7 linked regions of the Coturnix japonica genome follow. The protein of the gene in region 1 interacts with the protein of each later gene in a pairwise test. Links are inferred from orthologs where the notes say so. Each region holds a gene or a part of one and is shown on either strand. Other genes may lie near its edges.

Evidence for each region.
Region 2: the proteins of OTX1 (region 1) and SPRY2 interact in binary tests that used the Homo sapiens proteins (3 or more experiments, as listed by UniProt). The two-hybrid records come from large-scale screens. The link is inferred for Coturnix japonica from reciprocal best matches to the Homo sapiens genes OTX1 and SPRY2.
Region 3: the proteins of OTX1 (region 1) and RGS17 interact in binary tests that used the Homo sapiens proteins (3 or more experiments, as listed by UniProt). The two-hybrid records come from large-scale screens. The link is inferred for Coturnix japonica from reciprocal best matches to the Homo sapiens genes OTX1 and RGS17.
Region 4: the proteins of OTX1 (region 1) and CHIC2 interact in binary tests that used the Homo sapiens proteins (3 or more experiments, as listed by UniProt). The two-hybrid records come from large-scale screens. The link is inferred for Coturnix japonica from reciprocal best matches to the Homo sapiens genes OTX1 and CHIC2.
Region 5: the proteins of OTX1 (region 1) and RBPMS interact in binary tests that used the Homo sapiens proteins (3 or more experiments, as listed by UniProt). The two-hybrid records come from large-scale screens. The link is inferred for Coturnix japonica from reciprocal best matches to the Homo sapiens genes OTX1 and RBPMS.
Region 6: the proteins of OTX1 (region 1) and SPRY1 interact in binary tests that used the Homo sapiens proteins (3 or more experiments, as listed by UniProt). The two-hybrid records come from large-scale screens. The link is inferred for Coturnix japonica from reciprocal best matches to the Homo sapiens genes OTX1 and SPRY1.
Region 7: the proteins of OTX1 (region 1) and COMP interact in binary tests that used the Homo sapiens proteins (3 or more experiments, as listed by UniProt). The two-hybrid records come from large-scale screens. The link is inferred for Coturnix japonica from reciprocal best matches to the Homo sapiens genes OTX1 and COMP.

What each region holds. Positions count from the first base shown.
Region 1 is NC_029518.1:2,095,930-2,100,114, forward strand, and holds the start of OTX1 (homeobox protein OTX1), read right to left. Parts: upstream 2,824-4,185; 5' UTR 2,644-2,823; intron 2,120-2,643; 5' UTR 1,862-2,119; coding exon 1,765-1,861; intron 1,240-1,764; coding exon 1,088-1,239; intron 587-1,087; coding exon 1-586. Other genes in the region: EHBP1 (EH domain-binding protein 1), read right to left, coding at 3,959-4,049, 4,112-4,185. UniProt on the Homo sapiens protein: Probably plays a role in the development of the brain and the sense organs. Can bind to the BCD target sequence (BTS): 5'-TCTAATCCC-3'.
Region 2 is NC_029516.1:136,865,573-136,869,455, reverse strand, and holds the end of SPRY2 (protein sprouty homolog 2), read right to left. Parts: intron 2,303-3,883; 5' UTR 2,252-2,302; coding exon 1,310-2,251; 3' UTR 531-1,309; downstream 1-530.
Region 3 is NC_029518.1:44,751,524-44,754,368, forward strand, and holds part of RGS17 (regulator of G-protein signaling 17), read right to left. Parts: intron 1,316-2,845; coding exon 1,127-1,315; 3' UTR 1-1,126. UniProt on the Homo sapiens protein: Regulates G protein-coupled receptor signaling cascades, including signaling via muscarinic acetylcholine receptor CHRM2 and dopamine receptor DRD2.
Region 4 is NC_029519.1:59,083,022-59,087,154, reverse strand, and holds the start of CHIC2 (cysteine-rich hydrophobic domain-containing protein 2), read right to left. Parts: upstream 2,803-4,133; 5' UTR 2,661-2,802; coding exon 2,542-2,660; intron 1-2,541.
Region 5 is NC_029519.1:30,663,435-30,667,614, forward strand, and holds the start of RBPMS (RNA-binding protein with multiple splicing), read right to left. Parts: upstream 2,810-4,180; 5' UTR 2,183-2,809; coding exon 1,931-2,182; intron 1,855-1,930; coding exon 1,816-1,854; intron 1,710-1,815; coding exon 1,647-1,709; intron 1,268-1,646; coding exon 1,117-1,267; intron 844-1,116; coding exon 713-843; intron 439-712; coding exon 376-438; 3' UTR 369-375; intron 258-368; exon of another isoform or gene 154-257; intron 1-153.
Region 6 is NC_029519.1:47,745,983-47,749,960, forward strand, and holds the start of SPRY1 (protein sprouty homolog 1), read right to left. Parts: upstream 2,826-3,978; 5' UTR 2,709-2,825; intron 1-2,708. UniProt on the Homo sapiens protein: Inhibits fibroblast growth factor (FGF)-induced retinal lens fiber differentiation, probably by inhibiting FGF-mediated phosphorylation of ERK1/2. Inhibits TGFB-induced epithelial-to-mesenchymal transition in lens epithelial cells.
Region 7 is NC_029543.1:2,829,776-2,833,995, forward strand, and holds the start of COMP (cartilage oligomeric matrix protein), read left to right. Parts: upstream 1-1,399; 5' UTR 1,400-4,220. UniProt on the Homo sapiens protein: Plays a role in the structural integrity of cartilage via its interaction with other extracellular matrix proteins such as the collagens and fibronectin.

The sequences.
Region 1 (4,185 bases):
GGTGATGGTGGTGGCCCGAGCTCTGGCTCAGCGGGTGGTGATGGTGGTGGCCCGGCACTGAGGAGGGCCCCATGGGGCTGAGCTGGTGGGGATGGTGGTGGGAGTGCATGGGGGCCAGGTAGGAGCTGCAATCCACTCCCCCGAAGTAGGACGAGGAGGGCGGTGCGGGGTAGCCCTGCCCGTACCCACCGCCCTGGCCGTAGGACACGGGGTAGCTGGCGGAGGCTGCGGGCCCCGCGCGCTGCATGCAGGACGCGCCGGCAGGTGGCAGGGGCTCGGGCACCGTCACCCCGGCCGGGGCCGCACCAGGAGAGATGGAGGCCGGGCTCCAGATGGATGAGGCCGTCGTGCCCAAGGAGGCCGGGGCAGCCCCAGCCGCCGCTGCCGCCCCTGATGAGGCCGAGCTGGAGGAGGAGGAGGAGGCCGAGGAGCTGGAGGCAGCTGCCGGCGGTGTGAACTGCCCGCTGCTCTCTGAGCCTGAGCTCTCACGGGCCGGTGACGACTTCTTCTTGGCTGGGCGACTCTTGGCTCCACCACCGCTCTGCTGCTGCTGCCGGCACTTGGCACGGCGGTTCTTGAACCAGACCTGGGGGAAATGGGACTGTGAGCAATGGGGCGAGGAGCAGGGGCCCTGAGTGCCCTCCCGCAGCCAGGCAGCCTCACCCGCACCCACACCCCGCCATTACACCCACGGAGCCCTGCCCGCGCCGTGACAGCATCACCCCAAATGCCCTCAGAGAGCAGTGGGGCGTCCCATACTGCTGCACTGGGTTCATTGGAGCTTGAGGCCAAGAGAGCCCACCAAGATCAGGACTCAATAAATGGCCACGGGGAAGGGGCCAGCACCTGCACACCCACCCCACAGGCAGCACTCCGAGGCTGCTGGTGCACAGCAAGGCAGCACAGGGGCTGCTAACCCCACAGGGTAGGTGGACGGGGGAACACGAATCAAATAAGATTGAAAAGAAATACAAACGAGCAGAATATAAACAAAAGCCCCTTCCCCTGAGCAGCACGGCCCACGCACACCCGAGGGAGACTGGCTGAGAGTGGCCCACCACACCAAGTGCCCCTGTCCCAGCGGTACCTGCACTCGGGACTCGGGCAGGTTGATCTTCAGGGCCACCTCCTCCCGCATGAAGATGTCGGGGTAGCGCGTCTTGGCAAACAGGGCCTCCAGCACGTCCAGCTGTGAGCGGGTGAAGGTGGTGCGCTCCCGGCGCTGCTTCCGTGGGGTGGCTGCGGGTGGGCACCGTCACTGTGGCACCGCGCTGCCCCGGCCTGAGCATCCCCCCCCCTCCCCTCTGCAGACCCCACGTTATAGAACCCCTTGGACCCACGGCACTGCCATGTGGGGCCGGACCCCATCCCGCCGCGGATGGGGTGAGCGGAGAAGCATTTGGGAAGGATCAGGCCCGGCCGCGGTGGGAGATACATGGAGATTTCGTTGTGAGTAAATAAATCACTTTTCCACCTCCCCTCCTCCTCCCCCTTCTTTTTCTTTTCTTTTCTTTTCTTTTCTTTTCTTTTCTTTTCTTTTCTTTTCTTTTCTTTTCTTTTCTTTTCTTTTCTTTTCCTTCCTTTCCTTTCCTTTCCTTTCCTTTCCTTTCCTTTCCTTTCCTTTCCTTTCCTTTCCTTTCCTTTCCTTTCCTTTCCTTATTTTCTTTTCTTTTTCTTTTTTAAATTCTCCTTAAAATTCCCCTCCAGAACAAACGAAATCCGAGCGTGGGGAGGGGGGAGAGGGGGGCCGCGTTTGTGACTCACCCGGGTACCCGACGGAGGGGTGCAGCAGGTCCATGGCGGGGCCCGGCAGCCCCAGCCCGTTCATGCCGTACGGGGGCTGCTTGAGGTAAGACATCATGCTAACAGCCGGGCGGGTTTCCTCCAACGTCCCGCAGGAAAGTTAAAAAAAAAAACAACAAAACCCTAATACAAATAAATTTTTTTAAAAAAAAGAAGAAGAGAAAGAGGAAAAAAAAACCAAAAACAAACAAAAAAAACCCCCAAAACGAACGCAACAAAAAGAGCCCCCGGCCGAGCGGCAGAGCCGCGCAGTGCTCGGTCCGTCCCGCGGCGCCGACGCTCGGTCCTCAGGCGGCGGAGCGGGGTCGGCCCGGTCCTGCGGGGAGAGAGCGGGGTCAGAGAGCCGCAACTTCGCAGGTTCGGGGGCTTTTCTTTCTTTCTTTTTTTTTTTTTTCTTTTTCTTTTTTTAAATAATTATTCTTTTTCGAAACGAAGGTGAGTTGCGGGCGAGCGCAGAGAGGCACCGTCGCCCGGCGATGGGGAGAGATAAAGCAATTATTTAAAAAGATAATTGGATTAGGAATCAAAAGGAGGGACCGGAGGAGGGAAGTCTAATTAATTTAAAAGCGAGCGGACGGGGACGTTTTAATTAGAAATGGACGAGAGTTGAAAAGAAGGAGTGAAGAAGGGGAGCGCGGAGCGGCACCGGCACCGGGCGCGGGGTTCCGGGCCGCGAAGGGAGGGGGGAGGAGGACGGGGGGCGGCGTGGCCGGGACCCCCCCGGCCGGGTCGGGCCGGGCCCCCCCTGCGCGGCCGCGGAGCGCGGGGCGGAGCGGAGCGGGCGCCCCCCCCGGGAGGGGGCGGTGGGGGCGCGCAGCTCGACCGGGCTCCCCGCGTTACCTTGCCGCCGGCCCGCGCTGTCGGGGCGATGGAGCCGTGGCCCTGATGAGGTTTGATCGCCTCCGCGCCGCCCTACCCTTGTATGTGCGCGCAAAGCCCGTGCGTAACCAACCCGGCGCCAATCCGCGGCCGCTCCCCGCCTGACTGACAGCCGCCCGGGCAATGGCAGCGCGGCCCCGGGCCCCCCCCCCCGCCCCGCGCCGCTCCGCGCCGCTCCGCACCGCTCCGCGCTGCCCGGCGCACCGCTCCCGACCCCTTCCCCTCTCCCTGTCCCCTGCCCCTCGCCGCTCCCGCACCGCTCTGCCCCGCGGGCGACGGGACGCGGCGGCTCCAGAGGAGAGAGAGAGAGAGAGAGAGGGGCAGGGGGGGAGGGTTGTAGCCCCGGAAGGCCCCAAACTTTGTGGATTTCTTAAGAAAAAGAAGAGAAAACCGAGGGAACAGGCGCGGCGAGTGGCCGGGAGCGCTGAGAGGCGGTGAGCGCGCCCCAACAAGACGCCCGTCCGCGCTACAGCTGAACGCGAGCGCACCGCGCACCGCACCGCGTACCGCGTACCGCACCCGCAGGGCTTCACTCCCCCCTTCACCCTCTCCCCCCTCCCCCCCGCCCCCTTCTTTTCGTTTTTCTTTATTTCTCTCCTTCCCCCGTACTTCCCCGGTTCCTCGGCGGGGACACCCGAAGCCCGACGGCGACGACGAGGAGGAAGACGAAGGCCGCCCGGCGCTCCCTGTCCGGCTCCCCCTGCCGCCCCTCCCCCCCCCGCCCGCCGCTTCTTACCCCGCCGAAGTTTCCCCGGCCCGCGACCGACCAAACTTTCCCCCCCCCACCAGCTCCGCGCTGTCCGTCTCCCCCCGGCAGCACACAGAGGAGGCGCTCGGTCCGGTAAGAAAGATTCGGTTTTTATTGAAAACGCTTTCTCCGTGTCTCGACACTGTAATAAATAAACGGGGGCTCCGCGGGGCCCGGCGCAATAAATACGGCCCGGGGACAGCGGGGGGTGCGGACCGGGACCAGGACCGGGACCGAGAGGGCCCTCCCCGTGGGGTCGGTGTTGGATCTCCGGGCCCCTCTAACCCTACAGCACGAACCCGGGGTTGCGCGGAGCTCCGGACGGGACCCGCCGGCTCCGGCCCGAGGGAATGGGGGAGTGGGGGGGATTGGGGGAGAGTGTGTGTGTGTGTGTGTGTGTGTGTGTGTATGTGTGTGTTGGGGGGGCTGATTTGATTTGATTTTTTTGCAAAACATTTTTTTTCTCTCTCTTTTTCTTTCTTGGCAGCTTCTCGGCGGCGATTCGGCAGCGCAGGACGGGGCCGCCGCTCACTGCAGGACGCACTTCTCCTCCCGCTTGGCCATCTTGCCTTTGTTTTGCTCCAGAGTCCGCTCCAGGTGCTCGTCCTCCTCCTCGGCCCTGCGGGGACACCCGGGGGTGAGCGGGGGCACAGAGCCCGGCCCCCCCCGCCTCTTACTCACTGCTTCTCCTGCGCGTCCAGGTCCCGCACCAGCGCGTCCCGCTTGTTCACCAGCAGCACCAGCTCGTCCAGCAG
Region 2 (3,883 bases), on another chromosome or scaffold:
ACACAGGGCTGGACTACGTTCACATCTATCATCCCCTGTGGCATATTCTTCTGCTTTTAACAAATAATCCTGTAAGCTTTTTGCACTGACGATATCAATCTTCCCCCTTCTTCCCCCCTCTCTGAGTAAAGCTATGCAAGCCTAACTTTTTTTTTTTTTTTTTTTTTTTTGTGAATGATTACTTATTTCCTATCTGAAGCACAAAAGCTCATCACTTACAGAATAGGTCAACCTTTCAGTGCCCATTATTGCTAGTCTGGAATGAATCAACGCGCTCTCCTATGTTCACTTTCCTTTTCAGATGCAGGACCAGCATATGTGACATTTGTATAAAGGAAGCGAAAATCCTGCATTACTTTCAGGTGAAGCAGTAAACAAAGAAGAAAAAGTACACTTAAAAGTTCTGTTTTGATTTTCAAGCTGGTCAAATTAGATTGGCCATGGCAATATTACTTCAAAGTCTGCAATTTAAAGTATTGTTTTTCCCAACTCAAAACAATAAATGGGGGAAAAAATGACAAGTAGCCCAGTTTAATTTCAAACGTTAATATATTTTCTATTTTATAGTGAACATATGCATCGTTCACCCCTTATTTGCAGCAACTATGACGTCCTCATAAAAAGGGGTGACACTTGTAAGATGCCTCTTAAAATAAATATTTCTTTTTATAAAATAATAAAACTTCAAATAAATATTCTTTACACTAAACAATATGTTGAAAAAATTAGAAAATAAAGGCTGAATTTTACTGTAACTGTACAATATACATGAAGTCCAAAGGGAAATCAGAGTCTTGTAATAGAAGGTTTCCGTAAGACAAAATACAATCTAAAAACATACTGATTGATTCACATTCTTCCGAATGTACAACATATTAGTATAATATTTTGTGACTGTGCCATGTCTTATGACACCACTTATTTTTCACAGTTGAAAATATTATTGTATATACAAAAATATAGCACATTATCTCTGGCAGAAAACAATGAAAAAAGGGAGTCATTTGCTAATTTACAAATTTTGCAAGTACTATTCACAAACCATGGAGTTGCCTAGGAGTGTCTGTGTTGCTTTAGCTTATGCAATATGTGGGTCACGATGTACTGCATTGCCTTTTTTATTCTGCATCCCACTAGTTGGATTCTAACAAGCCTATCAATTAAGATGGCACACAGAGAAAAGCATGTCACTGCAAACAGCAAAGTGTACCCCCAACCCTTCTACTACAGTGCCAAGACCTTAGCTGCTTAGTTGGTTGCATATATGTTAAAATAATCCTTATTACTTGATTATTTCTGATTGGTGATGCTATGTTGGCTTTTCAAAGTTCCTGGGGGGGACACTGGGAACTTTGCAGCAAACCGTGTTGGAGTGTTTACAGCGGCACCCAGGCCGATTGACCCGGTCGTAACAGCCCTGGCATAACTTAAGGCAACCCTTGGCTGGCAGGTAACACCACAAGCAAGGCAGGAAGAGGGACACCACACCCATGGCCGACCACCTAGTGCAGCAGTGCGACTGACTGCAAGAGCAGGGGTTGTCAGCGCAGTTGTCCTCGTCATCGTTGGAGCAGTGATAGAAGAGGCCCTTCACACAGCACACACAAGTCCCATAATCGACCACGTTCTGGGCTGAGCAAAGACACTGTTTGTCACAGATCCAACACGACGGAAGGGTCCTTGGATACGTGCACTCCTTGCACTTGCACTTCCCACAGTCCTCGCACCTGTAGCTGTGTGCTCCCAAATCTTCTTTGCTCAGCGGCTTCAGCTCACTCGACTTGAGCTCAGACTTGGGCTGCATGCGGACTATCCCATCAGCAATTGGCCCTGAAGATGATCCTAGAAGTCTATGTTCAGAGGAATTACTGCTTGTACTTGTCCTTGTACTGCTCCGTGAGCCTGTGCTGACTGTGCTGATGGAGCGGGACAGAGGTGCCCTAGGAGAAGCGTGCATTTGCGTGTGCTGAACCCGGCTAAAATGGCGATGCTCAGGCAGGCCGTGAGGCCTCTCATTTTTGGGTTGGTTTGCTGGACGAGGAGCAGACTTGACCCCTGGCCGCGGAGCCACCGTCGGTCCCTCTGTGTACTCATTCGTGTTGCGGATGGCTCTGATCTGGTCCAGGGACAGGATGTGGACTTGCTGCGTCAGGACATCCCGCAGGTCGGGCTCCCCATGCGGCCTCCCACTGTCACGCCGAGCCTGTAGCAAGGCCTCCGACCCACTGCCGTGCTGAGTTCTCGTCTCCATCGCTGCCCGGAAGCGTGCTCACCCCAGCAGGCTTAGAACACATCTGAAATCCTGGAGCAACAAAGAGAGGATTCACTAATTGCAACACATCTCATGCTCTCCACCAGCCTGCAGGATTCCACAGTACTGCACACATTCAAAGTAATGCATCAGCCATTAAAAAAGGATTCACAGCTCAGGGGGGAGTGCAGTGCTGGTCAGCTAAGTATGCTCTACTTGGCCTCCCCTGGCTACTCCTGCAGAAAGCTTAAAGAGACTCTGTTCTAGGTCCGTGCATTTCAGCCTGTGCCTCTAGAAAGCCTAAGGATGACGGTTGGTAACTAGGACATCCCAGGCCATCCTCCTGCCAGACCACAGCCTCTAATGTGACCAACTTTCAGCCCCTTTAAGTGACTCTTCTTTTCACACGATACTACTGAAAACCTTATTTTACATTAAATTAGAAAGAGCCTGCAAGCATTTAGCAAGTGTAACATGACCTGCTGATGACAGACATACAATTCTCCAATTTTGTTTAAAACTGGATAATATTTTGGTAGGCCAGTTTCTTTACACATTAAACTTTACATGATGTAAATAGGAAATTTTAGTTTAATACCAATGGTCCCAAGAAAAACACTAAATAGCAATAAAATGTTTGAGGTTAGACATTAAATGAGTTAGTGCTACCAAAAACTTCAGCAGCACAAGTAAAAATATCTTTCTCCAATATTTTAGTGTGTGTCATACTTGTACACCACTGCAATTGTTATTTTAAGGCTCAGTACTACAAAAGCAATGCTACCAGTTTTGGTATTTATAAAATGTGTAAAAAATTCCATAGACTACACCTCAAATATTACCAAGAGTGGCTCCTGGGAGAGAGGCGTGAATAATGCCATCAGATAACATCAGCACCCAAGGAGGTTACTTGGTTGCTAACAGCTTTAAAGGATGAATAACTACAAAGTTGAAAGGCAGTCTTGAGAATTTAAATGGGAAGTCAGGAAAAGACCCAAAAGATGGGGACTTGCACATAACTTACTTCCACGTTAAAATATGCACAAGTTTCAAGCACTGACCTCTGAATCACTCAGTATTTGTTTTGCCTTTATCATATTTTAAAGCAGTTCCTAAATCCAATTACCTACACAAAAATCCAGAACAATATTTTACAATTAAAATCCAAGCAGGAACCAAGCTCCTTACAAGGACCACACAATGTCTTCAATTATACCTAGAGAGAGCACCATAGTGTTACTCTGTACACATCAGTTACCAACAAGAATACTATACCACAGTATAATAAAATATAGCCAAACACTTTAACAATGAACATCTCCAGACACTGTCTTTCTTCTAACAGCAGCGGAAAGCATTTAACCTTTTAACTCCTGGTGCCCTCCCCTCAAGTGCTTTTTCCTCCCCCCCCAAAAAAAATCTAGGCTTTAAAGAGTAACCGACTATTTTAAACACTGCCAACTCCTGGTTTTGACTGCAGAGTGTGTCATAGTGCTCCCCCCAGAAGTCCTGCAAGCTTATCACGAAGCAGCATTACTTATGTTTTCTTCAATTTCACGCTTTTGCTGTATAGGAAGTTTCAGAAAGTAGGCATTCCCTCATCCGATTAAAATAAAATAAATTAAAATAAAA
Region 3 (2,845 bases), about 43 Mb from region 1:
AATCTTACAGGACAGATGCAATTCATCGAAGTGTTCTAAAATACTCTAAAATGCTACATGTAGGCAATCTTTTATTAAATTTCTTTATTAAAAAAAACTAAATTATCAAGCTTTCTGTGTTTGTTCTTGTTTTTGTTTTCTTATTTCTTTTTTTTCTTTTTCTTTTTTTTTTCTTTTTTTCTTTTTCTTTTTTTTTTTTTTGCTGAAGTACATAACATTATACAACAGTGTTAGAACTGGGTAGCCAGTCTTTAATAAATCAATTACAGTATCTGACATCTGAAATGTACATTGAAAATCTTTGTTCTTTTAACAATTAAACAATATCAGCGCATAGATTGTGTCACTCAGATATGGATCCCTTTAAGTGGTTTGTGCTTTTTTTTTTTTTTCCTTCTTTTTTATTTATTTTTTCTTTTTCTTTTTTTTTTTTTTGACATTGCAAACTCTGTAATGAAAATGCCACAGTTTTGGCAGTGAACAACCAGAGGAATCCTCCACTTGATTTATTTTAAATAAACAGTGATAAATAGCTCTTTCTATACAGAAATATTGGCTTCAAAAAGTCAGTGTATTGTACTCAGTAGAGCATGTTGAGTAATGCTACACCTTAAAAATTGGCTTTTTTCAGTTAGTGATGTTAAAAAAATGCAAGCCTCTTTCTGGTTTGCTGCAGTTGTTGTTTCTATGTACCATTAGACTGTATTGCACAAAAAAGTTCTTAAATACAGATATAATTTATGTTATTGGATTAAATATTGCAACAACTAAGTGGTAAGTGAAGCAGTTTTACCTTGCACATGCAATGTGAGGATACACAAGGAGACTGTTCATAAAACTACAAATACATCATTGCAATCTTGACTGCAGTTGGGTGAAAGGAGTGCGAAACAAATGTATTTTGGCAAATCCACTGTTTCTCTCCCATGCTATTTCAAGCAAGGAGGACCTTGGTAAAAATGTAGACAGAGACCATAGTATGTATTTGTTTTCTTCACAGTAGCCTGAGTAGAGCTAAACTGTAGTTCTCCAGGAACCCAGCTCCAGATGGTAATAAACTACTTTTCTTCTGTCCCGCCCACCCCCGAAAAAATGAAGTTATTTTATTTGAAAATTAAAATTAAAACTAAGTTTCAGAAGTAGAGCCTGTAATACTTTCAACAAGAGACTTATAAATTTGAGAGTTCAAGAACCTTGGGAAAGAGTCTCTGTGCATTAAGGTGTATATCTGGAGTTGGGCATCTTCATACATATGAGGACTGGGATCCAGCAAGTTTCTGTTGATCACTTCTCTCACCCGGGAGTCAAGACTAACCTGAAGAAGATGAGAACAGATGGATATTATACAGTAATGCTGGAAAGGTTGTATATATCTCTTTCTTTCATATGGCTCCATGGAACATCCTAAGTTCATCACTTTATTCAAGGTACACTCTAACTTTCAGAGTAAATGTTCTAAAATGCACACACATGATTTCAGACTCAGATGATAGACTTTATTTCAGTTTTGACTTGGTCTTTGCATCCATCTTAATAGCTGTAAGATGAAATGCCTCTATTTAACAATACTAGTGCTAATAAATAAAGTTCTGCAGTAACCTGGATTTCCCAAAATAAGTTCTTACACACTGAAATGTTTTACTTTTTACATATTTTGAAATATTTCTCACAAAGGAATGTTGAATGACCCTCACGAAGTTTCCTATTCAGCATTCTCCTCTGAATGTGTCACAGATCTTAACAAGACCAGTTCATGAGGCTAGCCAATCGATTCTTCATTACCAAGCAAAATGGCTTGGACAAGAAAGCTCACATTTGGCAGGATAGTGGTGTTCCTTTGCCACTGAATACTGTAAAAATTAATTGCCATTATAGAATGAAACAAATTAATTATGGATCTCTTAATTCACATTGTAGTTTTTCAGTGACTCACTAAAGCCATATGGCAAGATTAATTGCAATTATTCAAGTTATCTCTTTGGTAAATAGATGTGTGCAAGGTATTTGTTTAGCACACTGGGACATTCTGCCTCAGTGACTTCATCACTGAACAAGGCTGAATATTTCAGCTCCTATGCCAAAGTTTCATCCAGAATAGGATGCTGGGATGAACGAGAACTTTAAAGCTCCCATTCTGATCTAAAGCATTGCAAACTGTTCTCATTTGCCTCATACGGTTTCCAGTAGGGGCAGAAGCAGTTGGGTTAATGACATCCTTGCATTCCTAGGGAATGAATTATGTGAGCAGTTCTGTTAAATCCTAAGTCCCAAAAGACTGCTTTAGTCTTAACTGCTGGTTCATATTGGCTTTGGAAGACAACAGGACGTACAGTAAATATGTGCCTACTAGATATATATATATACACTGTCAGAAATACAGTAGCTTGCTGTACTGGCAGTTATCTCACTCCAAAGTTAAAACATACACTATGTCACAGAGAATGTAAGGGAATTTTAAATGGCTGTTGGTTTCATTCACAAGAATGAAATTGCAAAAATTTACTAAAAGCAGAGGTAAAATGTAGCAAGCAAGGTCCACAAGTAAGCATAAATTAACACATACAGAAACAAAGAAGAGTTGCTAAAGGTACGTGACATAGCCCAAGAAACTCTTCTACAATGCCTGGATATTTATTTATTTATTTATTTATTTATTTATTGTATGTTTATATATTTGTCTGTTCCAAACCATGATTTGATGCTGAAGATAATTTCAGTTGGACACTGAAGAAAACTGTATATAATTTCCTGGGTATTATCCCACCTTTCATTAGAGAAAATACGCGATCACAATTCTTAGACTATTTGATGGTATCTAGGGATAACCAAAGCAATTTTTGCTTTT
Region 4 (4,133 bases), on another chromosome or scaffold:
TCCAAATCTCTGGGAAACCTTTTCCAGTGCTTCACTACCCTTATTGTAGAAAACTTCTTCCTTATAACCAATCTACATCTCCCCCGTTTTAGTTTGAACCCATTTCCCCTTGTTCTATCGCAACAGACCCTGCTAGAGAATGTTCCCTTCTTTCTCATGGCCCCCTTTTAGAGAATGAAAGGCAGCTATCTGGTCACTCCAGAGCCTTCTCTTCTCCAGACTGAACAGCTCCAGATCTCTCAGCCTTTCCTCACAGGGGAGGTGTTCCATCCCTCGGATCATATTTGTGGCCATCCTGTAGACACACTCCAGGTCCATGTCCTTCCTGCACTGAGAACTCCACATGTGGACACAGTACTCCACAGAAGAGGCCTCACCAAGTGCAGATCAGAGGGGCAGGATCACCCTCCTTCCCCCTGCTGGCTGCACTCCTGTTGATGCAGCCTAGGATAAGGTTGGCTTTCTGGGCTGTGAAGGCACATGTCCAACTTGCCACCTCAAATACTACTACTGAGTACCAGGATACATATACTTATATATACAATATAATATATTCTTTTGACTCTCTTTAAACTACTCAGCTTAGAAAGGACTCTCACACACTTCCACTGTCTGTTGGATGAAATCGAGTCATAGTAAATGCCTTCCTGACATAAATCTGTAGTCATAGAAGTGACGTATTTCAAACAAAACATTATGACTCCTATAGAAGATCAGAGGATATGACAAAGGTCAATGAAGAAGAGAGCTTCTATTTAAGTACACACACAGCAAAAGCAGTCAGTACCTCTTTAAACAGCAGAGTCAGAGACAGACCAACCCAGCATTCACTTTATTTAACCACTGATTTTTATTTTACTTTTTGGCCAGGCCTTCAAAGCACATACATGCTTTTATGCCAGGCAGAACAAACTGATTAGACATGTACACCTTGTCCTGTTTCTTAAATTCAACGAGTGAATGTCCTGACAGTGATCTAAGTACTAGTAATAAGCTTCTCCATCACTAAGAAAAATGTTATAGGCTGTAGGAAGGTGAAAGTGGTTACCACTATTCAGGGAACTGTTTGTGTGCCCAGTACAATAAACAAAGTTCATTAAAATCCAATTGCATGATGTTGGAGGTCCACGCTCACACTTCTTTACTCATCCAGAAGCTACAGAACTAATATTTTGAGGAAGGTATTACAGTTATAATGAACCGGTGACCATTAATAAACAATTAATGAGGCAGCTATCCTTCAGCCACAAAGTCCATACCAGTCACAGACATGGTATGCAAGCTTCCTCATGACTTTACGAACAGATCATGCACAACTGGTCTTCATGTACTGGAGAAGAAACCAGAGTTTGCCTCAATTTCAGCTCTTGATACACTTCCATCTGTCAATAAGACAACCATCAATGTCCTTGATCGCTCACCAGAAAGAAAAATGAAGGCTACCAGCTTATTTTCACAGATGGCAAACAGCCACTGGATAACAAAAACTTCCTGATCACCCTGAACTGAAATACAAAGTCAGCCACTGAATATTTTGGATATGTTTTCCTTCAGAGGGCTTCACAGCCTCCTGCCCACTCCACACCCTCCCAAGCTTCCAAACCACTCTGTCTATCACATCTTGTTTCCTGTTTATAGCCAGCTGACAATCTGCACCACCTCGTCGTCAGCATTTCATAATATCAATCAATTATAGCAGTGATGAATCAAAGCGCCACCAAACTATTCTGAAGTTAAACCCAGATTTCTGGACGAGTCAGTATCTGGAAATCAGCAGAGGTCACAGGAGTCAGAGTAGAAGAACACAAGACCTTCAACTCTGATGCTTCTGCTGCCAGGCTAGTCCTGTTGAACAGTTAAAATATACTTTTTTAAATGTATACGCACACAAACAGAAGTATCTACATAAAGTCTGTCGCACGGTGCTTTCTCTACGTTGTTATTTCAGTATTTGAAGCTGTACATCACAGCTGACAACCCTATGCCTCAACAGCGCGAGCCCGATGGAAGCGACTGGAGGGAAGCCACCCTCAGTTGTTTAATTATTGAGGAGCCCCACACCAACTCACAGCGTTAGCGCCGGGGATATTTGCAAACCAAAACTCGCAGCGACTCCCGTGTCAGACAAAGTGAAACCACGTGCACCCACCGCAACCCAACGCGACCGCACACGTACCCGCGTGTCCCAGGGGCTCCTCCTGCCCCCCGAGAGCCCTCGGGGGTGGACGGCGGGTGTGCAGCGGGCAGGCAGACAGCTCGGCAGCGAGTTCCTGATCCCACGCAGCCCCACGCACCTGACTTCCTGACACCTCAGCGCTTAGGACCCGTGCTTCGCATTCCTCTCTTACTCACAGCCCCGCATCTTCCTCGCCTCCCGCAGTTCCCTGCGAGCCCCAAGCGACCCCCACGGGGCCCAGGCCGGCAGCGGGGCAGCAGCACCGAGGCAGCGGCAGCAGCTCCGGTTGCCGTCCGCAGCTCGGCCCGCCGCCCGTCCCCGGCCTCCCCCCGCCCCCAGCGCGCAGGCCCCGGCGCGGCCCTTACACGGTGACATGGCCGGATCCGCGCACCACCACCGGGTCGGGAGAATACTTGAGGAGCTGCTCCTCCAGCGCCCGTTCCTCGTCCTCCTCCTCTTCGTAGATCTCGTCGAAGTCCGCCATGGCCGGGCCCGGGAGGGGAAGGTCGAAGCGAGAAGCCGAGGCGGCGGGCCGGGCTGGGGAGGGCCGCGGGAGGCCCCAGGTCCCGGGGTCGGAGCGGGCGGCCGCAGGCCCGCGGGGAGACGGCGGCTGCGAGACCGCGGCTACGGGCGAGGAAGCGCCCGTCACCCTCCGCGGGGGGAGGGGGCGAGAGGCGGGGCAGGAACAACAACAACAACATCCGGCCGGCAGCACGCCACGCCCCGCAACGCACGGGAACACGCCATGGGCGGCGGGGGCGGGCGCTGCGCTGGTGGGTAACGGGGGGCGGTACGGCCGAGTGGGGTTGGGTGGGTGTTAAGTGTGTGTCTGTGCTCTGTTATGGGGTGTCCGCAGAAGTAGTGAGGCGGGTTGGGGGTCTGCTGTCAACCGACCGGTGTCTGTTGGGACTAATGGCTTAGCTGAGGTCTCTGTGAGGAAGGTGGTCTCCAGCAATGGCTGCTTTGCTGCTCGCATGGGGGATGTGCAAAACAGAATCACAGAATCACAGAATGACCCGGGTTGGAAGGGACCTCAAGGATCATGTAGTTTCAACCCCCTGCCTGGCAGGGCCACCAAACATCCACATTTACTAGATCAGGTTGCCCAGGGCCTCATCCAACCTGGTCTTGAACACCTCCAAGGACGGGGCATCCACAACCTCCCTGGGCAGCCTGTTCCAGGGCCTAACCACTCTCCTAGTGAAGAACTTCCCCCTAACATCCAACCTAAATCTTCCCTCTTTTAACTTAAAACCATTTCCCCGTGTCCTGCTATTGTCAGCCCAAAACGTATTGGTGCGGTGAGTGTGTCTGAGTACTGCAGCCTTCTGGGAGCCTGTCCGGTCCTCTGTGCGTGGAGGGCAAAGCAGAGAGATTGCAGGAGAATGGTCCTTTTTGGATAATGCATGTTAAAATAAACCATGAATCCCTGAAAGCGAGTTGAGATTCTCATTCCACAGTTTATTAAGGTTGGAAAAGACCTCAAAAACCATCTGGTCCAGCTGTCAGCCCATCATCACTGTGCCCACTAACCATGTCTGTAAATGCTACATCTACACATTCCCTGAACACCTCTGGGGATGGTGAGTCCCTGACCTCCCTGAGCAGCCCATTCCAATGCGTAACCACTCTTTCTGAGAATAATTCTTTCCTAATGTCCAACCTGAACTTTCCCTTTTGCTCCAGACCCTTCACAGCTTCGTTGCTGTTCTCTGGACACAATCCAGAACCTGTTTTTCCTGTAGTGAGCAGCTCAAAACTGAACACACTACTCAAGGTGTGGCCTCACTAGTGCAGAGTACAGAGGGATGATCACCTCTCTTCTCCTGCTGGCTGCACTATTTCTGATACAAGCCAGAATGCCATTGGCCTCTTTGGGTAGTTGTGCATACTGCTGGCTTGTGTTCAGCCAGCTGTCAGTTAACACCCCTAGATCCTTTTCCTCCATGCATTGTTT
Region 5 (4,180 bases), on another chromosome or scaffold:
TTTAGTTTAAGAGGAGTGTGACCAGTGTTGCTATAGGGCAGGAAGCTGTATGGCAGAGAGGGGGTGGGGTGACAGGGCAGTTGGAACTCCCACCCCCGCTGTGGATGATTAAGCATGGGGGGACAGCCTGTGCCCGAGCACTGCGCTCCTTACCAGCACACTGTGGTTCTGCAGAGAGCGTGCGTGCCCAGCAGCCGCCGGGGGGCTCTGTTCATACCCACAAGACTGACCGTCGGCCGCCATCACACACCCGAGACCTGTGGGTGGCATGGCAGGGCTCAGGGATGGGGCTGGCACGTCCCCCTTCCTACCCAAGTTTTGGCTGGCACCGCAGGTGTGCTACACGGAGGACACCGGGGGGCACTTACACAGCATTCAGCAGAACTGACGGGACTTCCAGCCCTGAGACCCAGCCTCGGAGGGAGGGAGCCAGCGCATCTGCAAGACATGGGGGCAGGGGGTGAGCAGGAAGGAAAACTGCAGCAAAGGGTAGTGCAGCCATACCCTGGGGCTGCGGTGGCTGCAGTGCTGATTCCTCCAGGAGGAGCACAGGTGCTGCCTGTCAGCGCTGCCTTGACAGGGGAAGTATGAGGCTGCAATAATATTTACCATTGCTCTTCCTCTGGGCAGCTGGCCCCAGAGCTCCCCTCCTTTCCCTCCCTCTTGCTCTGCCTGTCAGAAAGGCTGCAGTGCTGTGAGCCAGTGCCATTACCTGGGCATGCAGCGAAGCAGGGTATGTGAACGCAGGAGGAGGTAGAGCAGGCGTCAGCTCCGCTGGGTACAGAGGGTACGGCCCCCACACTTCAGGGCTGCCGGGGTAAAGTGCAGGCACTGTGAGCTCATCTGCAGGAAAAGGAGGAAAATTAATCCTAAAAGCAAGGGGAAAGTGGACAGCAGGTATAAGCTTTGCACTTCTGCCCAGGCCACCGTCACCTGCCCTTGCGTCATCCCAAGCACAAGCAGCTGGTTTCCAAACCCAACCACAGTTGCCGTGCCTCTCCAAAAGCTTCCCTGCACCCAGCTCCTAAGGTATCACTGCCCCAACTGCTTCAGTAAGAAAGGGGCATTGCCAGGGCCATATACTGGGCGGACCAGGGTCAGGATGCAAGCACTCACAGGGCTCCCTGGCGATGAACTGAGGTACAGTGTTGGGGAGGGGCGTGCTGGGGTTGGGAGTGCCCATCAGCTTGCTCTTGGCCATCTTGGTGTTGGCTTTAGCAAACTCTAACCGCAAGGTCTGGGGGATCTCAGGGTCGAAGCGGATGCCCTGTGGAAAGGAACAGGGCAGCAGAGGTCAGTTAGGCTGAATCTTGTGGTAGGGTGCTGCCCCCCATTCAAGAAGGCCATTTGGGCTAAAACAGCCTCGGATTTTGTCCCAATATCCCCACGGGCTGCTGGGGTGGCCGTGACCTCATGTGCTTGGCAGCGAGCATGGCCCCGTGGCTCACATTCCTCTGACATCCTCGAGCTCAGCACCATATTTGGTAGTCGGTATCCCGTGCAGCCACGCTCCCAGCAAGGGATTAGCGGCGTTTTGCCTCAATGCAAGGATGGGGAGGAACCGGGCTTCCCCAGGAGGTCTCCACGGGGTAATAGATACTGGGATCCATCTCTTTTGGTGTTCCCTAGGGGGTCCCAGCACTCACGTTCAGTGCATTCTTGGCGGCCTCAGCTTCTGAGCGGCTGTCGAAGCTCACGAACCCCACGGGCTGCGGAGAGAGGAGGCGAAGGGCGGTCAGGGCCAAGACCCCACCACATCCCCAGCAGTTGGTGAGGGCAGCCCCCAGGCAGGTGGGGGCACGGTGCAGCCCATACCTGCTTGGAGGTGAGCTTGATAAGTGACCCCTCATAGCCCTGCGGGAGAGAAGAGAAGCACCATTGGTTTCATTTGGCCTCAGAGGCCCTCAGAGCCCCATAGCGGGTGCAGTACCTTGAAGGGCCTGAAGAGCAGGTAGAGCTCGCGGGGCTTGATGTCCAGGGGCAGGCCGCTGACAAACAGGGTCCTCACCTGCAGGGGCAGAGCGTCAGCTGGTTGTGGGCCTGCAGGAGGCTCCCCAGGGCCTCCAGGCCACGCTCCTGCACACAGCTCTGTGCTCACGGCCTCAAGGAAGTGCCCGCTGTGAGCTGTGTTCCTGAAAGCTAAACCCGCCCGAGCCTGACTTTCCGGGTAATTTAGCCCCATGGCTGCGCAGCAGATAAGAGAGATAAAGGCCCTGAAAAAAAACCCTCCGAAATTAGGCCTCACAGAGATGCGGCTTCTCCTCGGTAATGACTTGTTTTCTTTGAAAGTTCAAACGCAGGTCGGCCAAGTCGGGCCAGTGCTGCGGTGCTCAGTGAGCAGGGAGAGAAGCGCAGATTACAGCAGGAGCTTGAAGGGGGGTGGTGGGGGAAATCCCATTTAGGCTTTTCCCCCCTGCCCAAAACCAGAGACAAGCAGAGGCTGGGGAAGGAGCTGCGATGCGGTCTCCCCAGCAAGGAGCCGTGGGGAAAGGCTGCCCCTGCTCTGCCACGGAGCGGGGCAGCTCCCTGACAGAGGCTGTGGCTCTGGAGCCTTCCCCGGGCCCTGCAGATGCTGTCAGTGCAGGCCGGGGTGGGCAGTGGCAGAATCCCCTCTGTGGGGGCTGGGGACCCCTCCCGGAGGGATCCTTCCACGCCAGTGGGCTGACACCCCCCATGGCAGCCCCACCACCCTGCCGCGCTCAGCCTTTCTCCCCGGCTCGCCTTCACCCCTCACCATCCCTCGTCACAGCCCGGGACTGTCACCAGGCGAGGGTGGTGAATGTGCTCCGGAGCCACCCCGTGCCCACCCCACCGCACCCCTCTGTTTCTGCTGCTGCCCACGGACAGACCGGGGCGCAGCCTCGTGCCTGCTCCGTCCCCTTCGCGCTGTCCCCGCCCGGCAGGTTTTCTCCTCGCCCCGGGGACATTCGGGGAGACCTGGCGGGCCTCGCTCCGCCCGAGAGCGGCCCGGAGGCGGCTCGGCACAGCAGCGGCGGCCGCGGGCGGTGCGACGGGCACCGGGTCAGCGCCGTGGCCCCTCGGCTGCCCCAAGGACGCGGTCACGCTCCGCCGCCCCAGCGCCGAGCTCCGCCGGTCAGCTCGGGCAGGAAGGGACCGTCGGGAGGAGCGCGGTGACTCATTCCCCAGGCATCCGATCACCTTCCCCGGGCTCGCTTTAATGTTCCACCAGCGGTGAGCCGCTCGGCTGCCCCCGCCCCGACCCCCGCCCGCGGCGTGACCGCGACCCGTCCTCGTGCCCGCGCACTCGGGGTGAGGGCGCGGCGGCCGGGCAGCGGCGGCACCGACCTCGCGCTGTGCCGGGAGCGGTGCCGCCGAGAGCCGAGCGGGGCCGCCGTCCCGGCTCCCGTCCCCGGCCAGGCTCTGTGCGCGGCCGCCGTGCCGCCCGACGGGACCTTGTGCCGCCGCCTCCGCTCCGGGGGACGAGGCGCCGTGCCCGCACCCCGCGTGAGTCCAAGCGCCCCGCGTCCCACAGCCCTTGTGCCGAGGCGCACCCGGCTCCGGGCCGCTCCGCCTCCCCCCCCACCAACTTCCATAGCTTCCCGCCGCGCCCCGAGCCCCACGCCCAGGCTGACGGGACCCCGCGGACACGCGTGGGGGCCGCACCGCTCCCGCCCCGGGACCCGGCCCGCCCTCGGCGGCTCCCCCTCCCCCGCCCGGCCCGCTACCTCCTCTTCGGGCAGGCCCGGCTCGGCGGGGCCCTCCCGCTCGGCGGCGCCGCTGCTCATGGTGCCGCCGCCGCTCCGCCACCCGCCCGCGGCTGCCTCCGGCGCGGCCCTGCGGCGGGCGGGAGGGAGCGGGGCCGGGCGGGGCGGGGCCGGGCGGGCGGCCACACGGCGCTGGGGGAGGGACGTGGGGACACGGGGTGGGACGGGGCCGGGGACGGGAGCGGGGGTGGGACGCGGAGCTGGGGCGACGGGACGCGGGGTGGGGATGGAGGACAAAGGGCTGCGGTCTGGGACGTGAGGTTCGGTGCGTGGCACGTACGGCTGGGGACGAGGACGTTGGAGTTGGGACGTGGGACGCGAGGTTGGGTACGTAGCACGCGGGGCTGGGGACAGCGATGGGGACGCGGGCCGTAAGGCTGGGAGCACGGTGTGAGCACATGGCACACGGGATGCGGGACAGAACGTGGAACAAGAGGTGTGACACAGCTGGGAAC
Region 6 (3,978 bases), on another chromosome or scaffold:
CAAAACTTCTGCTTCATCTCAGCTGTTGTGTCTCCCGTGGTCCCCAAGATAACGTCATAGGATAAATTCAGCTTAAAATTACAGCGCACTAGTAACAGTAGAAGGTACTGGCTATTCCCAAAACGTCAAGCTAAAGAGTCCAATCCTGACAGAAACCATTTCAAGGTGTAGAGCGCATCTTTGTGCAAAGCCATCTCCAAGACACCAATCAAATAAACAGTTCCGAAAGCATACACAGAGCAAAGTAGGCCTCACTTCGTTCTGAAGGAATCCCCAGGAAAAACCCGGTTGCTTTTCTTGGATGTTCTTGAGAGTCACACACTTTCAGACAGCATGCAGTAACACGGAACTTTCTTTTTGAAATTAATCTATGGAGGTTTTTTCTTACAGCACTGGGGCTTTTCTTTTTTTTAGGACTAGGGTAAAACATGTCAGCTCTAAGGATGGGGGAAAAAAAAAGCCTAAGATTTACAAACACCCCTCTTCTCCAGCTGATGCTCACTTACAAGGTTGATTTTGTCATCACACCGTGCCAGCATCTTCCAGAATTCAGAATACATCATCTCGTGTTAACTTAAGATAGTCACTATGGATATGCCAGGGTGGATGCTTAAGTACAAACTGCCTACAACTTGTTTGGTCAGTGTGGCAGAGCTTGCCAGCAGGAATGGCCACAGGAACGGCCCAGGGCATTGCCTCAGTTTCTCCTGAAGCCATTAGCTCTGCTTCAGCCCCTATCAGTGCTGTTCTGGGACCTTACTCCTACTGTCTCACAGTTGAAAGTCAGCTGCATTCCCTTGTTTCACAGGGCCCAAGGTTCTAACCTCACATCTGCTTAGCATGTTATTTTCCACAAAGCAACCATCTCCTATCACATGATCTCAGGGGACAACCACGTAAACTTCCATGAAAAACAGCAGGGAGGTACAAAACGGCCCGCTGGAGGTACTGGATCCTTTTGATGGCTACAAATACTCGTAGGAAAATAAAACTTCTTTGAGCTTAATGATGTACTGTGGGCTTTTCTTCTCCATCTCATTGTTTTTTCATGTAGAGTTTAGAAATAAACAATGAGCACACTTAGAAGGAGGAAGTTTTCCACACATGCTTTCTATTAATTTTATTTCCTCCACAGATTTTCTCATAGTTTTACTCACCAACGTTTTCCTTCTGTTCTCATTGAGGAAAACAGGCAGAATTTCCCTCCTTTCCCCACTAGTTGCTACTAAATTTCTGGAAGATCCAGAAGACATTTCATTTTAACATTAAAAAAAAAAAAGAAAGAAAAAGGTTTTTGCAGCAGTGCTGACTGCTGCCAAATAATTATTTAATAATTATAATGAAATATTTCCAAGAGGAAAAAAATCTGTAAAAATACCATGATTTCATTCCATTATAGCCACAACAGGTACAAGCAATGCAAGGAAGTAACCCATAGTGCTGTACAGGTTGGCTGAGAAGGGGTTTTATTCTATTCTTTATTTACTCCAATGAAAAGATGACACTGGAAGATGACATCTGGGGACTGGCTCTCACCTCAGGGATAGAATTCCATGAAGGCCACCTCTCTGCACTACCCAGAGACTGTGAGACCAATGCAGAAGCCAGTGGGTTTGGCCTAGGACAGCTTAATCATGGAATGGCCTGGGTTGAAAAGGACCACAATCATCACCGAGTTTCAACCCCCTGCTATATATGCATGGCAGCCAACCACCAGACCAGGCTGCCCAGAGCCACATCCAGCCTGGCCTTGAATGCCTCCAGGGATGGGGCATCCACAACCTCCTTGGGCAACATGTTCCAGGGCATCACCACCCTCTGCGTGAAAAACTTCCTCCTAATCTCTAACCTAAACCTCCCCTGTCTCAGTTTAAAACCATTCCCCCTTGTCCTATCACTGTCCATCCTCATAAACAGCTGTTCCCCCTCCTGTTTAAACACTCCCTTCAAGTACTGGGAGGCTGCAATGAGGTCTCCTCAGAGCCTTCTTTTCTCCAAGCTAAACAAGCCCAGTTCCCTCAACCTTTCCTCACAGGAGAGCTGCTCCAGCCCTCTGATCATTTTAGCAGCTCTCCTCTGGACCCACTCTAAGAGCTCCACATCCTTCCTGTACTGGGGGCCCCAGGTCTGGACACAGTTGTGGTAGAGCTGGGTAGAGGGGGACAATCACTTCCCTCTCCCTGCTGGCCACCCCTTTTTTAATGCAGCCCAGGATGTAGCTGGATTTCCAGGCTGCAAGCTCACACTGCTGGCTCATGTCCAACTTAATCTTGGATTTGATTTTACTTTGAAAGAAAGAAAAAATGAATCATAATCTCAACTTAAGTATTTGAGAGTCAGGCTCCAGAAGCACATTTGCTAATCCAGCGCTGATAAGGTTAATGAGATCAAAGCCAGACCCCACTGAGTGTTTAACAGAGATGCTTCCTAACATGGGTCAGGGTGACTACAGCTGTGTGTCACAAACACACCGAAATCAGCATCAAGATGACACAGATCAGCCCTTGCTCTGATTACACTCGCTACTCCCACTTTCTGCCTCCCACCGACTCTCTCAGCCCCTATCTTTCCAAACTAAAATCAGTGAGTGTTTGATTTCAGGGCAGAAATTCATACAGTCATCTTCAAACATTGTGTCCGTCTCCTCTCCTCCCCAGCCCCCACTGTTAGGCAGTGAGGGCTCCTTGGGCTCTGCTTCAGGCACTTACCTTCTTATCCAGCAGGCAAACCAAAGTCCAATCCCTTCAATTCTGTGATTCGGCGAAAAACTCAGACCCTCAGCAGTCAAGTATGCAGGGAGCAGCTCTCCCACCATCTTCTTTTAAGTCTCCCCAGCAAGCACGGAGGGGCCTAACAAAGCTCTATGCAGCCAATTGTGTTATCAAGGCACTTGGCACTACCAGCTGACCCTCGATTGCTATTCATCCCTCGGGAAAATAAAACACCCTTTTGTAGTGAAAGTGTAACCGGTTACTATGATGCGTTACATTAACAAAAGCAGCTTTTTACCAAAATTACGGATGATGAAAGCCTGGATGTGGGCTCAGACCAAGGGAACCAGTTGTTTCTACATGTTTCAGACAGCTTAACCAAGATTTCCACGACACTAAGAAGAAAGAGGTGGATGAGTTATGTTACATGTTTGTACAAAAAACAGCAGTGAGTTCTGTAAACCAAATTTCAAGGATTTTCTGTCACAGAGATTTTTTGTGTGGCAGCATCCTGTGCACACCACCGTAATCTCAGTATTCATGGGATCTCTGGTATTTTTGTGCTTTGCTTGAAATCAACACAGAATTTTTTAATATGATTTTCTATTTTTACTTTTTCTTTTCTAGGGGTCCTGCTTATTAAAGAGCATAACCATCTGAAAGATAGAATCTGTAGGGTAGAAGGGTAGAGCTTGCTGATTTGGTGGTGAGGAAGCATGCCAGCACATTCAAGGTTGTATTTGTGTTCTAATCTACTTAAGCACCCCTTGGCCTTCACACCTGCAGCCCTGTTTAGGGATCCCTCACTCTCAAGGCAACAGCTCTCCATTAAAGCTGCGGTGCCCAGGTTTGGGCTGTGGCAGTGCAGCCAGGGGGACATTCACCTGAAAGGAGCCCAATGACTTTGGTCGCCTCACCTTACTGCACCCAACACATCCAGCTCCCAGCTAACACAGCAATCCAAACGCCACGGAGATGCCTCATGCATAACAACGTGAGGCCAAATAGACACAATTCACATCCTCAGCTTTGGGAAAGCTCACTGACAGAGAAGCTGCTTTCCATGGCATTAAGCAGAGAAGGCTGGACGGGAGCAGCTACCCTGTGTGAAACCTGAAGCACTCTCCAGCAGTGTAGAGAAAAGACATGACCTCATTGTTCCACAACCCAGATAATCCATTCCTGGATAAAGCGAGAGACAATGAGTATTTCACCTTGAAGGTTATCAAAGAGTTTGCCACTCTCCATGGAGGCGTTTGCTTCCCCA
Region 7 (4,220 bases), on another chromosome or scaffold:
TAAAAAGTCTTTGGTGACCTTCAGTATTTTGCTTCCCTAAGATATTTGAAGCTAAGAGACATAAACCAGATTTCAGCAAGCTGTAACTCTTCAAACAAGTCATGGAGCACGACCTTGAATGGATTATTGCATCTTGCACTGAATGAAGCACATGGAGAGGAGGTGAGGCTGTTACTCTGTACTGACTGATGGAGTTTTCTTACAGTATTTGTTTTGCTGTAGATGTTGATGTCAAATAGTGAATCTGCCTTTCCTCAGTCACTGGTGTTGTTATTTACATTACTTAGTTCCTACCTAAACATTGTTACCTTGGGGCCACAAATAGTTCTAAACATAAATCATTTAGGGATCCTGTTTGTTGAGACTGTGTTTTAGCAACAGATGAAATAACTGTTTGTACGTAATCAAACCATAAAATCATGTTTTGCAGATTTCTGAAGATAGAAGTTTGTTTTGGCTGGAAACACTCAGCAGAAGGGTAGGACAAGACTAATGATTCTGCTCACTGCTGGGCATCAAACTTCACTGTCCAGCCCTTTCCACAATGTCTGTCTTTAGAATTTGCAAATGTTCATTTATGGTATTCAAAACAGATGCTGAGAAGTTCTAACATATTGGGCTTATTACACATGAATGAAATAGAAGTGAGCACTGAATGAATGTGTCAGGTTGGTTCAGCTTCATTTGTAATCTCACAGTTCACCAGAACAGAGAATACATCTTCTGTGACATTGACAGTTTTATTCATGGTGGCATTTAATAGAATTTATGACTGATGTGACTTAGTTCAGACTTGAAGACTCAGACCTAACAATTGACAGCCTGCATTGACTATGACCATTGTTTTTTTTATCTCCGCCTTTCTATAGTGGATGTATGAAAGCTGCAAATCTACCTACATTACCAGGCTCATGTAAAAATACTGAACTGAAATGCATGTTTTCTAATATATAATGCTCCTTTGAAGAAGGTACTGATCTACTCTGCATGTGCATGGTGAATAAGAAAAGCCTAAAGAGCATCCCTTGGAAATGTTTTCTAGCAATGGGAATCTAAAGCATTGGGAGGCTTCCTGAGCTGGTTGTGGAGCCTCCAATCACTGGAGACATTTAAGAACAGGGTAGAGAAATCTGGCTCAAGAATGCCATAGGTACTATTGATCCCATTACAGAAAGTAGAAAATATTATCTTAAAATTCTTACCGGTTATCTTCTAGAATAATTTGGTTTCTTGTGGCCATAAATATATAAGAACCACTGTAAAACACTTAGCATGCTATTTTGGAGAGCGGAGGTGTTTTTCACTTATTTTTAGAACTTGACCTTAAGACTGAAAAATAACTTTTTCCTTCTGACTTTTGTTCTTTGCTTGGCAAACATCAGTTAAAAACACAGAGATGGAAAATATTTAAACTTTAAACTAGCATGAGCTTTTCTTTTTGTTGTTTGTTTGTGTGCTCGTTTCATTTGTGATGTCAACGCCAGCCAGGCAAAAAGGTGTAACTAACCTGGCACTGCAGAGTGTAGAAATACTGTTATGCCAAAGCCCAGATAAACACCATCTACTGCTCAGATTTATTAATTTATTTTTATCAATAATACTTAAAAAGAACAAATTTTACTGGCAAATCTGGAAGATGTTTCCCCACCAGATAATAATAAGTTCGAGTACATCATCCACTCTTTAACTTGCCCTTTTAAAACAGGAGGAGGTATCCAGAATTAATCATCATCATGACCCAACACTTTCTGATCTACTATTGTGTGTTTAAGCTGCACTGCAGTGTTGATTTATGGCATCTCCAGCACTTAGATCTGAATATAGAAAGATGAAGAATGAGTCCAAGGAAAATAAGTGTTGGAATGACCTCATTTTGTGGAGACAACATGTCTTGGTCAGCTTCAGAAAGCTGTGAAGAAGCTGCATTTTTCTCTGTGCAGTTATTTTACTACCATTAGAGAAAAGAAAAGATCCCAGCATCTCTTGCAGAATAAAGAGAAATGACTCCAGGTTTCTAGAATGTAAAGATACACTGATGGCTGCCTTCACATCCAGAAGACATCATTTATAATTAGCCTAATGTAAATATAATATGCCTCAGTTCCGTTCATTTAGAAGAAGTGATCAATAAGCACTATTTTGTCACCATACTGTCCCACACTAATTGTTGCTGAGGAAAATGGATGTCATTTCTCAGCAGTGAATATTCCTGATGTCACTGAGCTTGAGGACTTGCAGCTTCTAAATACAAACAGTTTCTTGTGCTGTTACACATCAGCAGAGTCACATAGAGGTAACATGTTTCGTGTGTTCAGCTTACCCTCCAGCCTCCACTAACAAATTAATTATCAGTGACTTTTGGAAGGCAAAACAGGTGGTGATGAGCTTAAAGATTGTCCATGTAGACAAAGATCTCTTGCTTCCCTGAAGAGAGCTGGCATCACTGCTGGTAGCCCTTAATCTTTTAAATCCTTTAACTTGCAACTTGTCCATACAATGTATTTGAAAGAGTGAGATTCTCTTTTTACCATCCATCCTTCACGCTGACTTGAAGAGTTTGGAAGCTTTCTTCTTTTTCTGCCAATTATTTGAATTTCTTCAGTCCACAGTAAAACCAAAGAAAATACTCTAATTTCTGGCTTTGATGAGTTAGTTTGAATGCTAAATAATGGGCATAACTTAAAAATTTGTGAATTTTACACATAACGTGATCACCAGTTTATAGTATTGCAACAGGGTTTGTCATTCTGAGCAGCTGGAAGTGTTCAGAAAAAAGCTGAGCTCTGTGCAGGAGAATCGTGACTCCTCTTGACAGTCTCCCACAGCTCTTTCTGGATGCTAACATTGCTCCCTTGCTGGCTGGGGGTCACATTGTTATACAAGCCAACTTCACATGGCCTTAAAAATGGTTGTTTTCAGGCAGCCCACAACCTCTGCTGAAAAATTGGTTTCCTTTTTTTGGCCTCTGAAAGCTTAGAAACGTAGAAGTATCCAGTTATTTAGATAATGGGCTTTCAAGCAACATTTTTATTAGGTGTCTGAGTTTAAGGCTTTTTGAATGTAGGTTTGTTTGGTTCTATGTCTTGATACCATCAAGTAATTAATACTCCACTTGGATAGCAGAAAATGCATTCATATTTTATTTGCCTCACATTAAATGGTTCCTTTTTTGTTGTTGTTTTCCTCCACAAACCACAAGAAATAAACCTACGTGGTTGATTTGATCTTTGGGTTCGCACCAAAAAGTCACTTGCTGTGTATAACATGAGGTGACATGCTCCAGACAAGCAGAATGATACCTAGGGTAACGTAAGCAAACTAAATTAATGTTTAGTATAAATTTATTTGGTGTGAGAACATGTGAAATCTGTCTGCTGCAGCATTCTTGTAGTATAGAACTAACACTTGTTTGCATGCTGTGTTGAACATGCACGCTCAGTTGTGCCTACAGGACTACACAGTTACCTCCAAGAACTGTGCATAGCCACAGGGACGGGAAGCCTTTCCTGAATATGGGAGGTCTGAGGCCAAAACGAGGACAAAAACCTTCTGTAAATATCCAAATATTCTGCTTCTATAACACTGTAAAGACTGAACTACTGTTTTCTGGGGCTTTCCCGTCTGTGGTGTCCCCGAGGATTTTGGATGATCAACACACTAATAGATTTCATAATCAAACAGTGAGAATGTGTGACCAGGAATTTCACTGCTCTACAGACTCACCTTTTTACAGGCCATGGTTTAACTTGCAGTTTCCTTCATGTAATAGCTTTAGGATTTTTTGGGGGCCAATTTGCTTTGGCTGCTCTGGATGGATTTCTCAATCTGCTCTGTGTCTTCTGGTGGAAAGTGCTGGATTTAGACTGACTGAGGGAAAGTGCTGGACTGAGACTCATTCTTTCACAGACAAGAAGCAGCAGTCTCCCTTCCTTTCATGCTGTCACCTCTGCATTGCATCCTTCCCTTAGACAAGCCTGGGTAAGGGGGAAATGAGAGAATGTCAGCCTCTAACGATCGATCCATTTGCCAGATCCCTTACTAAAAGTGGTGTGATAGCCCCTCTATGGAGCTGGACTCAATAATTCTACCCCAAGTGGTAAAACTGCCTTGGGGTGTTTCGAGAGCCTTTTGTGAAACTCCACTGGGGTCCAGATGTCTCATAGCTTTTGTGATGTTGTGAGTAGTTTCAGAAGGAAAATCTGTGAGGGATAGGGTTATGA